3 linked regions of the Oryzias latipes genome follow. The protein of the gene in region 3 interacts with the protein of the main gene of each other region in a pairwise test. Links are inferred from orthologs where the notes say so. Each region holds a gene or a part of one and is shown on either strand. Other genes may lie near its edges.

Evidence for each region.
Region 1: the proteins of mlx (region 3) and mxd1 interact in a two-hybrid assay, tested with the Homo sapiens proteins (2 studies listed by BioGRID and IntAct). The link is inferred for Oryzias latipes from reciprocal best matches to the Homo sapiens genes MLX and MXD1.
Region 2: the proteins of mlx (region 3) and mxd4 interact in a two-hybrid assay, tested with the Homo sapiens proteins (2 studies listed by BioGRID). The link is inferred for Oryzias latipes from reciprocal best matches to the Homo sapiens genes MLX and MXD4.

The regions. Positions count from the first base shown.
Region 1 is NC_019867.2:24,931,459-24,935,462, reverse strand, and holds the start of mxd1 (max dimerization protein 1), read right to left. Parts: upstream 2,850-4,004; 5' UTR 2,083-2,849; coding exon 2,016-2,082; intron 1,450-2,015; coding exon 1,341-1,449; intron 1-1,340. UniProt on the Homo sapiens protein: Component of a transcriptional repressor complex together with MAX. In complex with MAX binds to the core DNA sequence 5'-CAC[GA]TG-3'. Antagonizes MYC transcriptional activity by competing with MYC for MAX binding.
Region 2 is NC_019859.2:15,515,721-15,519,752, forward strand, and holds the start of mxd4 (max dimerization protein 4), read left to right. Parts: upstream 1-1,168; 5' UTR 1,169-1,346; coding exon 1,347-1,410; intron 1,411-1,923; coding exon 1,924-2,023; intron 2,024-4,032. UniProt on the Homo sapiens protein: Transcriptional repressor. Binds with MAX to form a sequence-specific DNA-binding protein complex which recognizes the core sequence 5'-CAC[GA]TG-3'.
Region 3 is NC_019866.2:6,755,828-6,760,069, reverse strand, and holds the start of mlx (max-like protein X), read left to right. Parts: upstream 1-1,427; 5' UTR 1,428-1,530; coding exon 1,531-1,566; intron 1,567-1,616; exon of another isoform or gene 1,617-1,921; coding exon of another isoform or gene 1,922-1,927; intron 1,928-2,423; coding exon 2,424-2,460; intron 2,461-2,590; coding exon 2,591-2,680; intron 2,681-3,024; coding exon 3,025-3,134; intron 3,135-3,216; coding exon 3,217-3,319; intron 3,320-3,608; coding exon 3,609-3,708; intron 3,709-4,032; coding exon 4,033-4,234; intron 4,235-4,242. Other genes in the region: fmnl1 (formin-like protein 1), read right to left, coding at 116-292. UniProt on the Homo sapiens protein: Transcription regulator. Forms a sequence-specific DNA-binding protein complex with MAD1, MAD4, MNT, WBSCR14 and MLXIP which recognizes the core sequence 5'-CACGTG-3'. The TCFL4-MAD1, TCFL4-MAD4, TCFL4-WBSCR14 complexes are transcriptional repressors.

The sequences.
Region 1 (4,004 bases), on a different chromosome or scaffold from region 3:
AACATTTATTTAAAAAAAATAAATGTAAAACCTGCAGAGTAAAAAATTTCTACATTTTAGTCATTTTTTTTCGATTAAAAACCCAAATTTGAACATATTTGGTTGGTCTCAGGTTCTATTAAGCTGTAAGAAAATATATAAGATTTGAAAAAGACATTTAATTGCAGCACGCCTGTTGAAAGAGGAGATGTAATAAAGCTACCCAACAATAAAAGAGGGTGTGATAAACTGGCTGCAGAACAACAACAACAAAAATAAAATAATGACGTCTACAAATTCATGGCAGCAGACTTCACCAAGGGGACACTTCACTGTGAGGCTCTCAAAAGCAGCTCCAACATGGACACAGGAAGTGCTCCCAAAATAAAACCCAACAGAAGGAGGAAATGTGGCCAAAACCGTTGAAACAAATGGGTGATAGCACGAAACAAGATGACAGCGATCTGTGACGGGGAGGAAAACGTCAGAAATATTATAATGATATAATTACACAGTGATGGCCTAATAGAGTAATAGAGACTCAAAAAATTGGGGGAAATGTTTTATCGCAGTAAAAAAAAATCTGCTCAAATAATCTAAAGCGCTGTTTAGATTGAAAAACAAAGTGATTTAATCGTGACCCCTTCCAAGAAAGGGTTTAAAAAAATACATTTATATCAATTTTAGCAAGAATGTACAGTGACATAGTTGTACTGGACTGATGACAATAGTCTTTATCGCAAAAGAAGATGAATTAGGACACTAAGTAAACACAGAAAGATATTTTCACATGGAAAGCACCAAAATCCTAAACTAACTTGAACTTATCATAGAATGTTTTCCAGGAAGCCAATACTCTGACTAAATCAGATTTAATTCAATTTTAACTGAACAACAATTCATTCTGAAAGGGGATCATTTGTGATGTTTTTTGAATCGTGGTGTTCAGACACTGTTGGAGTTAACATGCATAATCCAAATGAAGATCCTATTGTGAATGAGGAAATATTCAAAATACTCTGTTTGCATGTGCTCCAAGAACAACATTATTCTGGTTTAAAATGTTTCTGTTACGGTCAGAGGGGGTTTTAGAACAACTGTTTCCCCAGAGAGGGAAAAACCTTTTTCACAGATGATCTTTAGGCTAAATTTCCAGTATAAACATTTTTTATGACATATTAGTAATTCTACAAATGGAACATTGCTGCACATGTAAAAACAGGCCTACCTTTTTTTTCCTCTTTTGTCGTTCTATTGTCACATTTCCTCTCCACTAAATAGGTTTGTGTTCAAATTAAAGCTTTGACATTTTGATTTTTCTTCAACACAGACTCTTGTCACATGATTTCAAACGCTTTTACCTGCTACTTATGTTTTTCTTGCTTTTGCTTTTCCTTTTCAGGCTTTCCCTCTCTCTGCTGCTGCTGCTGCTGCTGAATGGTGGCATGGAGGCATAGCCGTGTTCAGCTTCTGCAAACAAACAAACAAACAGACAAACAAACAGTGATCACATGTCATCATTCATTTCTGCAGATACTGCAACAGTTAGGGCATGCCAGAAGGCTGCAAGGTGTGCACCCGGCTCTCTTTATTTTATTGCTTATGTGCATGCATGCAGTATTTTCACACAGTATCCCCCCACCCCCCACCCCAACAGCCTGGATAATGATGTCATCTTAAACTGGAATAAACCCCACAAGCAAACCACAACATAAGGAAAGGAGGAGCTTTCCTGCAAACAGTGTCTCCCTGCATCTGATTTCCTCGATTTATTCATAAAATATTTGAATATTTAATTGATGTTTATATGCCAAGTATGAAGTTGTACATGTCCTTACATGTGGGGGAAAAGTAAACCCTGCAACGATGCTTATCTGAGTCGGTAACTCCACCATGTACTAAGAATTAAAGTGTTCAAAAGGCGCTTTGAAATCACGTGAACCGATTGATCATGTGTGCAAACACAGTCTTTGTTAATGTTTGGAGGGGGGGGGGGGCGAGTCACAAAGCACAGAATGTAAATATGCTTTATTTACCTCGTTCCCTGCGATCCAGATACTCGGCTGCTTCGATCAACATCTGCACCATTCCGATCGCCGCCATTTTCAACAATAACTGGGATATTCTAGCAATCCGATGAGGGATTCCGTGACTGTACACAGCGTTCCTCCTCTCACGTCCAGCCCCTCAGCTGCTGTGATGCTCCGGCCGGTTTTCTTTTTAAAAGGCGGCGTGAAACGTTAGAGGGCTGTTCTGTGGGAGTTAAAGGTCCCAGATTGTTTTTTTTTTTGTTTGTTTTTTTGGTTAAGAGCTAACGTTGATGTCTATTAAAAGCTGTTTGAGAGAGGCAGTAAAAGCTAGCTAATCAAAGCTAAGGCAAACCTTCCCCCTAAAAAATTAAGAAATATATAATATAAAAGGTTCCTTATCTTCTATTTGGGCTAATTTAGACGCTTTGAGAAAATATTGGCGAAAAATCCAGAGAGACTTGTCAGTAAACGAATGCTGATTGTCAAACAAAAAAGACAGGAACAGGTTCGCGGACACTAGGAATTAAGGAAAAAAAAGTAAAAAGAAAAAAAGAAAGTTCTTGAAAGATTTGCTGTATCGGCTAATCGAGAAAAAAATCCGCCTGTTGAATTGTCACAAACTTAACTGGTGTGACAGTGGTAGAAAAAAATTAAATTAAATTAAAAGCTTGACGAACCGACGCTTCTTTTCAGTTTTATCGGTTTCGGGGCAGACTAGCTTACTGCTGGTTTATCGCTCGTGACACGCCACGCGCTTCGTTTGACACGCATCAGTTTAAGAAGAACGACAGTTTATCAAAGTGCTTCCAAATACTGGCTGGTTGATGTAGACAACAGCAACACACTGTACTCTCCACGAAGCCTCTCAGTACTCTTCTGTGATTGGACAGAGCCGATTGGAGGTCGATTGCCCATTGGGCTACTCAGGCATCAATCATTTAAAGGGGCGGAAGTGTCTTTGCAGTTGAGGAACTGCTTCGAAATCGCAAGCAGCAACCCGTGTATTGTGATTGGAGATTTAGTTAAACGCTTGTTAGCTATTGGGCTACTAAACCAGACAAACTAAAGCGATAGCTCCCTTTTTGGAGTGAAAATGCCGTCTTTTTACGCTGCATCGTGGTGTTGGGCTATGATTGGTTCCTACAGTTTCACTTCCTGTATTATTCCTCCCTTTATTGGTTATGTACGCGTGTGCCATCGCATAACCACGCCCCATTACAGTAACGTGGCAAAGTAACGAAACTCGTTGACAAAAATTGATTTCTTTAAAGTTGAGGAAAGGATTAATGTTTGATATTTCAACATAGCTATCTAAAAAAATTATATCAACCAAAAATCATAATACAAATAAAAATTAAGCAATTTACACAAAACAAGGATTCATTTTTTATATAAATACTTGCATAGCCACATCTATGTGTGGGTTTTCAGTTATAAATTTAGTGGAATTACTGCACCATCCAAATTTAAAGTGTAAAGTTCTTAGGACAATATCTAAACAATGTGATTTCCTACAAAAACACAGCTTGACTATTTTCTGTTTAAGTTCAAAGGTAGACTTAGTGAAAACAGCCATAAACAGCCATACAACAATGAGTTAAAATTTAAGTTGGTGCAACAACAACTCAAATCAAATGCTCTAATTCCTTTTTTTTAAATGTAAAATACTTTAGCTCTGCCTTTTAATGAATCCAACTTTTTCCATAATGTGTTTCTATCTCCCCATCAAATTCTCATTTGCACAGCAGCACATGCATTTTAAACGTTTGTGTTCTGCTCTATTTAATCCATTGTTTGCTCTTCCGTACTTTAAAATGCAGTGTTCTAAATATTAGAGAGTCTAAGCGTCATGATTCACTTTTTCACTGCCCTTTTTTCCTTTTAAAAAGGTTAATGTACGTGCCTTTGTTTGCCATTTCCTTCTTTGTTCAGAGACATCACTTCTGGGTTTGTTGAACCAAATCTTAAAACCAACTTCAGCTTTTATTTATTTAT
Region 2 (4,032 bases), on a different chromosome or scaffold from region 3:
GCTTCAAAATTGAAAAAACAAACAAAAAAACAAATTTCTGATCAGATTATAACATCAAGGTCTCCCCACACTTAAATGTTAGCATTTGATGATTGTTAGGCAAAATAATAACACTCCCAGCATGCATTTAACATAAATTCTCTATAAAAGTAGATTATAATGAGCAAACATATTACTCATAATATGCCAAATGTGTATACAGCGGAACAAAAAGCAATCAAATAACTCAAATAACTTAAATAACTCAACGCACTTACTTTTTAGAGAATATACTATATGTAATTTTTTTTACTATCCAATGTTAGACAACTAAAACAAACAACACAATCTAATTTACTTTACAAGAATTTTGGTTCACAGTCGTAAAACATGTAATATTTTAAAAATGAATTTTTACTTCTAATTCCTTTATATGTGCTTACAAACTTTTTGATAGCATAATATTTCACTAACAAATTGCATACCCTATGATTTATTTAGAAAGCGAAATGCTTTTGGACATAATATTTTATGAGTCATGTCTGTACCACAATCTGCAAATTAAAACCTGTAACTGTGGTTATTTCTACGATGAACATCTTCAAGACAAACATTTCAAAGATTGTGTGTTTCATTTCTCCTACACTTTTGTGTGTTTTTTTCATCATAATAGGAAACCATGTTACGCCATATGCTCTTATATATTAATTGTGATAACTTTGCAAACGTGCAGGCCTGCACAGAACTTTCACCATGACTTGGACAGGAAATTAGAAGAAGTTAAAAAAAGAGGAAGAATGACCAATTCTCTTCCCAAAAAAACTCACGCTAACGACAGATGACGTACGGTATATGAAATATCTTGACTGAAAACATCTAGTTTACTTTATAATTTCAAAGGAAAGGCGTACACGGGGAGGTTCCAGCTTGGCCTCCAAAACAACACCCAAGTTCAGCAACTACACATTAATTTCCTTCTAACCAATCAAATCGCTCTCTTCTGAGCATGCAGCCAATCAGCTGCGGAAAAGGTGGGCTGCTTCGGCTGTTGCTAGGGCATGCCTCTTGTGACTTTCGCAGCGTGTAGCCAATCAGATCGCACCTAGGAGGTGTCGACCGATTCATTGGTCTAGACACGCCCAAGAGACGACGGAATACTTTTTTCATTGGACGGAGGTACGATCACTCACTTCCCTGAGTTAGGTGCTGTTGTTACTGTAGTTTGGAGTCATCTCGACTCAGAAGTGATCATAGCAGGGCGCTCACACCGCTCTAAAAGAGTTTTTACACGGTCATTACACCATTTTATGAACTGTACATTAGTGTAAATAGGCTATTTCTATTTTTTATATAAAGACAACAAGAAGATGGAACTTAATTCTCTTTTAATTCTACTGGAGGCTGCAGAGTACTTGGAAAGAAGAGACAGAGGTATTTAAACATTTGCGATTATTTGTGAGTGGAGGATGCCAGTAACAGCTAGCTTAAGTTTGTGTGTGTTGTTACGTTTTGACGTGCCCTGCCATAGTGCAGGTATGATGTCACTTCAGGCTCAGTGGGACACTATCGGGCGATGGGTCCAAGCTGTATCCTCACAGCAGCTTCCAACTGTTATTTGTCACACGTTTACGACCTAATTTTTTTTCTACAAATTGCTCAAACTTATTTCGACTGCGTGTCGAATTAGTAAACAAATATTGTACAAAATGTCTTTAAATGGTTGTGTATCAATATTTAGCCTGCCTAACATAGATCTAACCGACTATATAGTTTACCCTCCAGTGTATTGTAATCCAATAACGATCGATCACCCTTTTTTTATCCCTTAAAGTGACACCAAGCTGATGCATTTGTCTTTATGCCTTGTCTTTAATGCCTCGTTAATTTCGTTTTGCTGCTCCTGCAGCAAGCTATAGCATTTATGTTTGCTTTGTGTGCCAACAGAGGCAGAGCACGGTTATGCCTCTGTTTTACCATACACCAACGACTTTTCTCGAAAGAAAACGAAAACCTCTACAATGTCCAGAAAAACTCAAAACAATAGGTAAGTATTTTATTTTGGTTTTTTTTAAAAAAATTCCGGGCTTTTATTTTTTAAACTCCCGGTTTGTGTTGATGGAAACCCTCCCAGTCGCACGGTGGGTTTCCGGCCGCCAGCGTTCAGCCTTCACGGTGTTTTTTTTTTTTTCTCACGGAGCTGGGCCTGGCTCTGGTGTTTTGGTCTGTCCAATAAACAGTGCCACGCGTACACTGTCAACTCTGCAGCCTCTGCTCTGTCTCTTTCACTCTCACCTTTTACCACCCCCACCAATCTAAAAACACAACACTTCACATGGGTTTAACCTTTTGTTTATGCAGACCCTCTGATCTGCTGCTTCCACCAAAAGCTTCAAAATGCCTTTTTTTTCTCCTCTTCATGTGGTGTCTGTGTTTAGTTTGATGTGTTTGATGTAAAGTCACATAACGCCGGGTCCTGGGCTCAGAAACCGCAGCCCTGTTTAGATGCATTAACACTTGGTATTAAACTTGTGTTTTTTTGCACTGAACCATTGCTCCTGCAGGAAAAACAAACAAACAAAAAAAAAAACACTCGACACCTCCCATTATTGCTGCTGCAAGAAATCCTCTGGAGTAGTATTACAATACTGTAAGTTTCAGTTTCACTTCGGCCTCGTTTTGCTTTGAGCACAGCTGCACAGCTGGTTAAAGGTCATTTAAACACCAGCAGGTTAATATTTAACTTTGAAATAAGAGAAAAAAGGAAAAAACAGACGAGCAGAAACAGGTGTAGCTGCAGATTAATAACAACGTCTCAATAATGCAGCCTTTTCAGCTAAAAGGATGTTTTTTTCTATTGTTAGGTGTGAGAATTTTACAATAGAAAAGCTTTTATTTCGACGAACCTCCTCCACAGAATTCAACTACTCTTAAAATATAAGGCACAGCAGTTGTTTACTTGATAATCAGACAATTTCAAATGCTAATTGCACATAATGTGCACCAATGAAATCCAAAACAGAAAGAAAATGCCCTCCTTGTGTGCATCAGTGGACCCTTCTGTTCATTATCTATGCCATTTACAGTAAACAGGCAGCTTGACATGACTTGCACGATATGACAAAAGTGTTGTTAGAAACACCAAAATGTCGCCATTGGGCAAGAACAAAAAAATTCATTACAACCACCGTTAGGAAAGATCAGCAGGAGCGAGTGCTATGTCACCACAGGCACTTTTAAATGTGTAGTTTTGTGAAATCAAAGGTGATATTTTTAGGGCGCGGATCCCTCCGCGTTCCTTTGATTTCTTTTCTGACACAGAAACATGCTGGGTTTGTGCGTGTGGATGTGAAAGGTATGAGTTTGTTTGTGCTTGACACATGCATACACTCTGTAACAAACAAACCCACTGGGCTTTAGGCCCGCTTTCTCCTTCAAGTTCTTTGGATTGGCAAATACGCCAGCCAACGGCCATTTATAGGCTTTGCCAAAATGTTTAGCGTCTTTTTTTTTTTACTTTTGAGGCTCAACGCTTGCTTGGTGAATCTGTCTCTTCAGGAGCAAAATGCTTTGTTACAATGTAATAAGCATGTTCTGTGCATAGAGAAATAAGAAATCCTGATGGGGTTTCCTGAGTTACTCATAGGCTGTTGTGAAATCAGAAATGCTTCTAAAAAAGGCCTGAAATTTGATTGGCCAGCGATGCCTCGCTTCAATTCTGTCACAGAAGAAAGTGATATTAGAGTATAAATAGCACTGATGAAAAGAGAAACCCCCTCCTGCGGTTTTGACCCCGACTTCAAGGACAGGCTTTTGATGCTGCGCATCGCAAAAAAAAAGAAAAAAAATTGGACATTAAAGTAATTTTGCATATGGGACACTCATCTTTTACATAACATGTAAAGCAGCGTGCCGATTTGCTGTCCTTACAGGTTTGCCGGGTGTCCCTCCCTCATAGTCGTTTCCTGTTCGTACTCTATGCTTTGACTTTAATGTTTCCCCAATTTGCGCTTGTTTGAGGAGCATAACTTCCTTCATGTCCGACTCTTTGTCTGC
Region 3 (4,242 bases):
TATATTAGATCAAACTTCTTATTTATGTGATTCCAAATAACCTTCCTAACAACAGGTTTCTTGGACTGTAGTGTCTCTGCATTTGGTGAAAGTGTGAGTAACAAGAACCACTCACCAGGACCACATTGAAGCGTTCTTCCAGCTCCTCCTCCGGAGGCATGGGAAGTTTTGGGGGAGCCGACTGTTTCTTCTGCAAGACAAGTGCGGGATCACTCATTGCCGAAACCGAGATCCTGGCGTCCCGGCCGTCAGCAGGTTCTTGCTCCAAGCCCCCTGCCGCCGCATTCCCCATCACTAATCTCCAAAAGTAATCCAGGAGGAAAGCTTTACACAAACCCTTTCTCCGAGGAAAATTGGTGTATTCCAGAGCAGAGTGACAAAAAGTTGGTCACTCTAAATGACAAAAACAGGAAGGTCTAAGATGAATCAAGTCCTGTGCCTTTAAGGTGAAGAACATTTATTCTAAATTGCGTCCTGTCTTCAAGACAGGATAAGTGATGAAAAAAACGAGGGTTGTCTTCATGTTTGTCCGCTCAGAAACTTGTCTGTCTACATGAGCCAACAAGAACAAGACAATAGCCTTGTTAGGCCTGCGTGCTCTAAGAAAAGACGTACCCAACTCTCATGAACTATTTCTACACAGGTTGAAAACTTCTCTGAATAAGGCAGAGACGCCTCTGTATGAGAGGAAGGAGAGGGGAGTGTGAAACACAGACAGAAACCACAGAAGCAGAAAAGCAGAAGAGTAACTTCCTGTGTATGAGTGCAGCAGAACCTGAGGTGGAGGACAGGGTGGAAGATAAACTGCATCCGTTATTCGGATCACAAATATAAAAAGGTACATAACAAATAAACAACACATAGCAAAAGAAAAGAACTACATTGCTCATGGTAACCAGAAATAAAGACACAATTACAACATGCAAATGTACAAAATTAAACCAACAATAGAATTGTCTGCAGCTTATTAATCATTTAAAGCTAAATCTATAAACTGGAGCTGTTTATTCCACTCTAGCTTGAGACAGGTTTGTTTTGGAGGTCGCACGGGTCAAACAGCTAAAGTTGAATACTGGTTTTAAAACTGAGAAACAGCGACCTCCTGCGTTTAAAGATTATCACTGCATATAGCCGTGCAACATTTGAGATCAGTATGAAATTTTCGTTATGAATGATACTAACATTCACATTGTTGTGTATATAAATAGTTAAAGGAATAAATAAATATATGTGACAAATACTTGAAGTTTGAACAATAGGTGCCTACATTTTTACCAAAAATTACGTCAGTTACATATTACATCAAAAGGTAAAACATTTAAAAGTATCTTCTTACTAATTAATCACAGAAACAAAAAAACTACTTGTATACAAAACACATACATATATAAAGTATTTATATTTATAGTTAAAGTATTATTTAAATGTTGATGGTTTGAAATATGAACGCATCTCATTCCTAACAAAGCAGTTTAATTTACGAGTGACACGTGAATGCGACACCACTATTAGTTTTTTCAGCCTTCCAAAATGACGGATCCTACATCCCCAGAGGAACACTGGAAAGTAAGTCACTCTTATGAACCAGATTTTAACTTATCACAAACTTTACTTTTTTAAATAATTACTTGGTCTGTGTTGTTGGGGGCGGCAGTTATAACTGACTCGGCTGTCAAAACGCGGAAGTAAAGTGGAAACGGTGCTTTGATAATAGCCTCGCGGCTAACTAGCTTAGTGACGTTAAGCAACATTGAAGTGCTTAGCAAAGCAAGCTAGCTAAGTAAACAAAGCTACCGGAAAACTCGGGTTAATTCAGTTTTTAAAAAGTCTTCATGCACATGAAAAAAATACACTTGGGTCAGCAAAACCGTAGATATCTAAACAAAAGAACGGAGAGAGAGTCGGTTTCATTGTGTGTACAATGACGGTAGGAAAATGAAAATTTGGTTTCTGTCAAGATTTCATAACGAAGAAGTACTAGTAGTCTGCCTTTACATTTAAGCTAATGCATGTAGTTTGTTTTGTCAGGTTTGGTACCAGTGCCACTAAGTAAAATTTTAAGAGATATTTTTGATGTTAAAAAACCTTTGAATCTTGACTTTACAGTAGATTAATTGTATTTTTTTATATGTCAGCTTAACTTTGATGCTGAAAGTACCATTCAAGAGGGAGCCACTAGAAAATCACTAATTGTGAAGTTTACCTGTTCTTTTGTTGTTGTCCTAAATTTTAACTAAATTGCGATCGAACGAGTTGTGTTCTCCCTGCTTGAATGTGTTAAACCAGGACAATCCTCAGTGGGTGTTCTGGTCTTTGTAATCAAAGTATTTAGAACAGCACACTTTCTTTTCTTTTTTTGGTCTATAATGGTAAACCCACCGCTTTTTGTCCATTTCTCCTGCTTCTTTATGATGGCTGCGCAGACAGATGGTGCTTTCAGCGATGGTGGCTTTGACCAAAGTGAGTAGTTTTTGGGTTTTGTTTTTAAATCAAATCCTGCCTGTGAGAAAACAACTTTTTCGGATTGGTTTTCTTTTTGTTTATGTCTTATTTTTGTCATATTTCTAAACATTTATGCTTATATTTGCAGGTTTCTATATTGAAACAGCCAGAAAAGGAAGTGTGGTGTCCAGAGCAAACAGCATCGGGTCAACAAGTGCCTCTTCAGTACCAAATACTGGTAGCTTTAGAGTCTTTTAAATCGACATCCAGTCTGTTTTGATATCAATCAAAAGTTTTACTCTGTCATCATAAATGAAAATAATAGGAAATTACTTTATTGTTTTTCTTTTCAATCCACAATTGTGCTATCTACCCTTTTCTGGAAGACTAAATTCTTTGGTTAAAAGTATTTAATATACTTTTTCTTGGTGAGAAATGTTTATAAAAACATGCTAACATCCCAATAGAACCATGAGGCCACTTTGAGATTTGACTCTTGTATTTATTGAAATGCTTTTTATAATTTGATCGACAGCACAAAAACAGAGTCGGGTCACAATAGTTTAATTTATTCCAAAATAGATGATGAGGACAGCGACTACAGACACGAGACGTCGCTTAAAGACTCGTATAAAGACAGAAGGAGACAAGCGCACACACAAGCTGAGCAAAAGCGCAGAGATGCCATCAAGGTGAGACCGCAGAAGAATCGCGTCACTGTCTTTAAAATTCCAGATATCTGATCTCGTATATATTTCTTTACTTTTATTTCAGAAAGGTTATGATGATCTTCAGTCAATTGTTCCAACCTGTCAACAGCAGTCTGAGTTTGCCGTAGGAGCACAGAAGATCAGCAAAGCTACAATCCTGCAGAAAAGTAAGATTTACTCAAAACCTATTGAAATAGTGGGATGATAACATTTGTTCTTTTACATTTGTAAAAGTATTTATTCTTTTTATATTTGAAACACCTGTAATGCTAAAAGTGAGGTTATTTTCAGACAGTCAGGTAAATGTGAGATGGTAGTTTCCACTAAACACATTTAAAAACTGATAACACGATCTAGTTTCAGTTACCTTTATGGTCACAAAATAGATGCAAAAACCATAAAAAGCAGTATGAAGAAACTAACTGACAATGCTCTGATTCTTTTTTTTTTTTTTAGCTATTGACTACATTCATTTTCTTCATAAAGAAAAGAAGAAGCAAGAGGAGGAAGTCTCTGTCCTGAGGAAAGAAGTTATGGCACTTAAGATAATGAAAACGTGAGAGCAGCTTATAATGACATACCACCTTTTCCTACTTAAGTCTTCCTCATAGTTTGTCAACACTCTGCCTTTATTTGGATTAAAAATATAGTTGTTGTTTTTTTTGCATTAAGAGATTTTGATTTTTTTTAAGTTCTTGCCCCTTTTCTAATGTAAAGTTTTGTTGAAAAAAACATCATTTTTGTATCATAGTTTGTTTTTTCTTCTTCTCCAGGACCTTTTTAGCTTCAATAATCTAATAGAAACTGAAGTAAACTGTTAAATTCATAACTGCTGTCAACCTTTAGTGGTATAAATACTGTCTGTTTTGTTTTTTTGAAGGAACTATGAGCACATAGTAAAGGCTCATCAGAGCAATCCACAACAGGGAGAGGATCAGGTGTCTGACCAGGTCAAGTTTGACATCTTTCAGAGCATCATGGACTCCCTGTTTGTGTCCTTCAGCAACTCCGTCTCAGTCAGCAGCTTCGAAGAACTGTCTGCTTGTGTTTTTAGCTGGATTGAAGAGCACTGCAAACCACAGGTACCAAA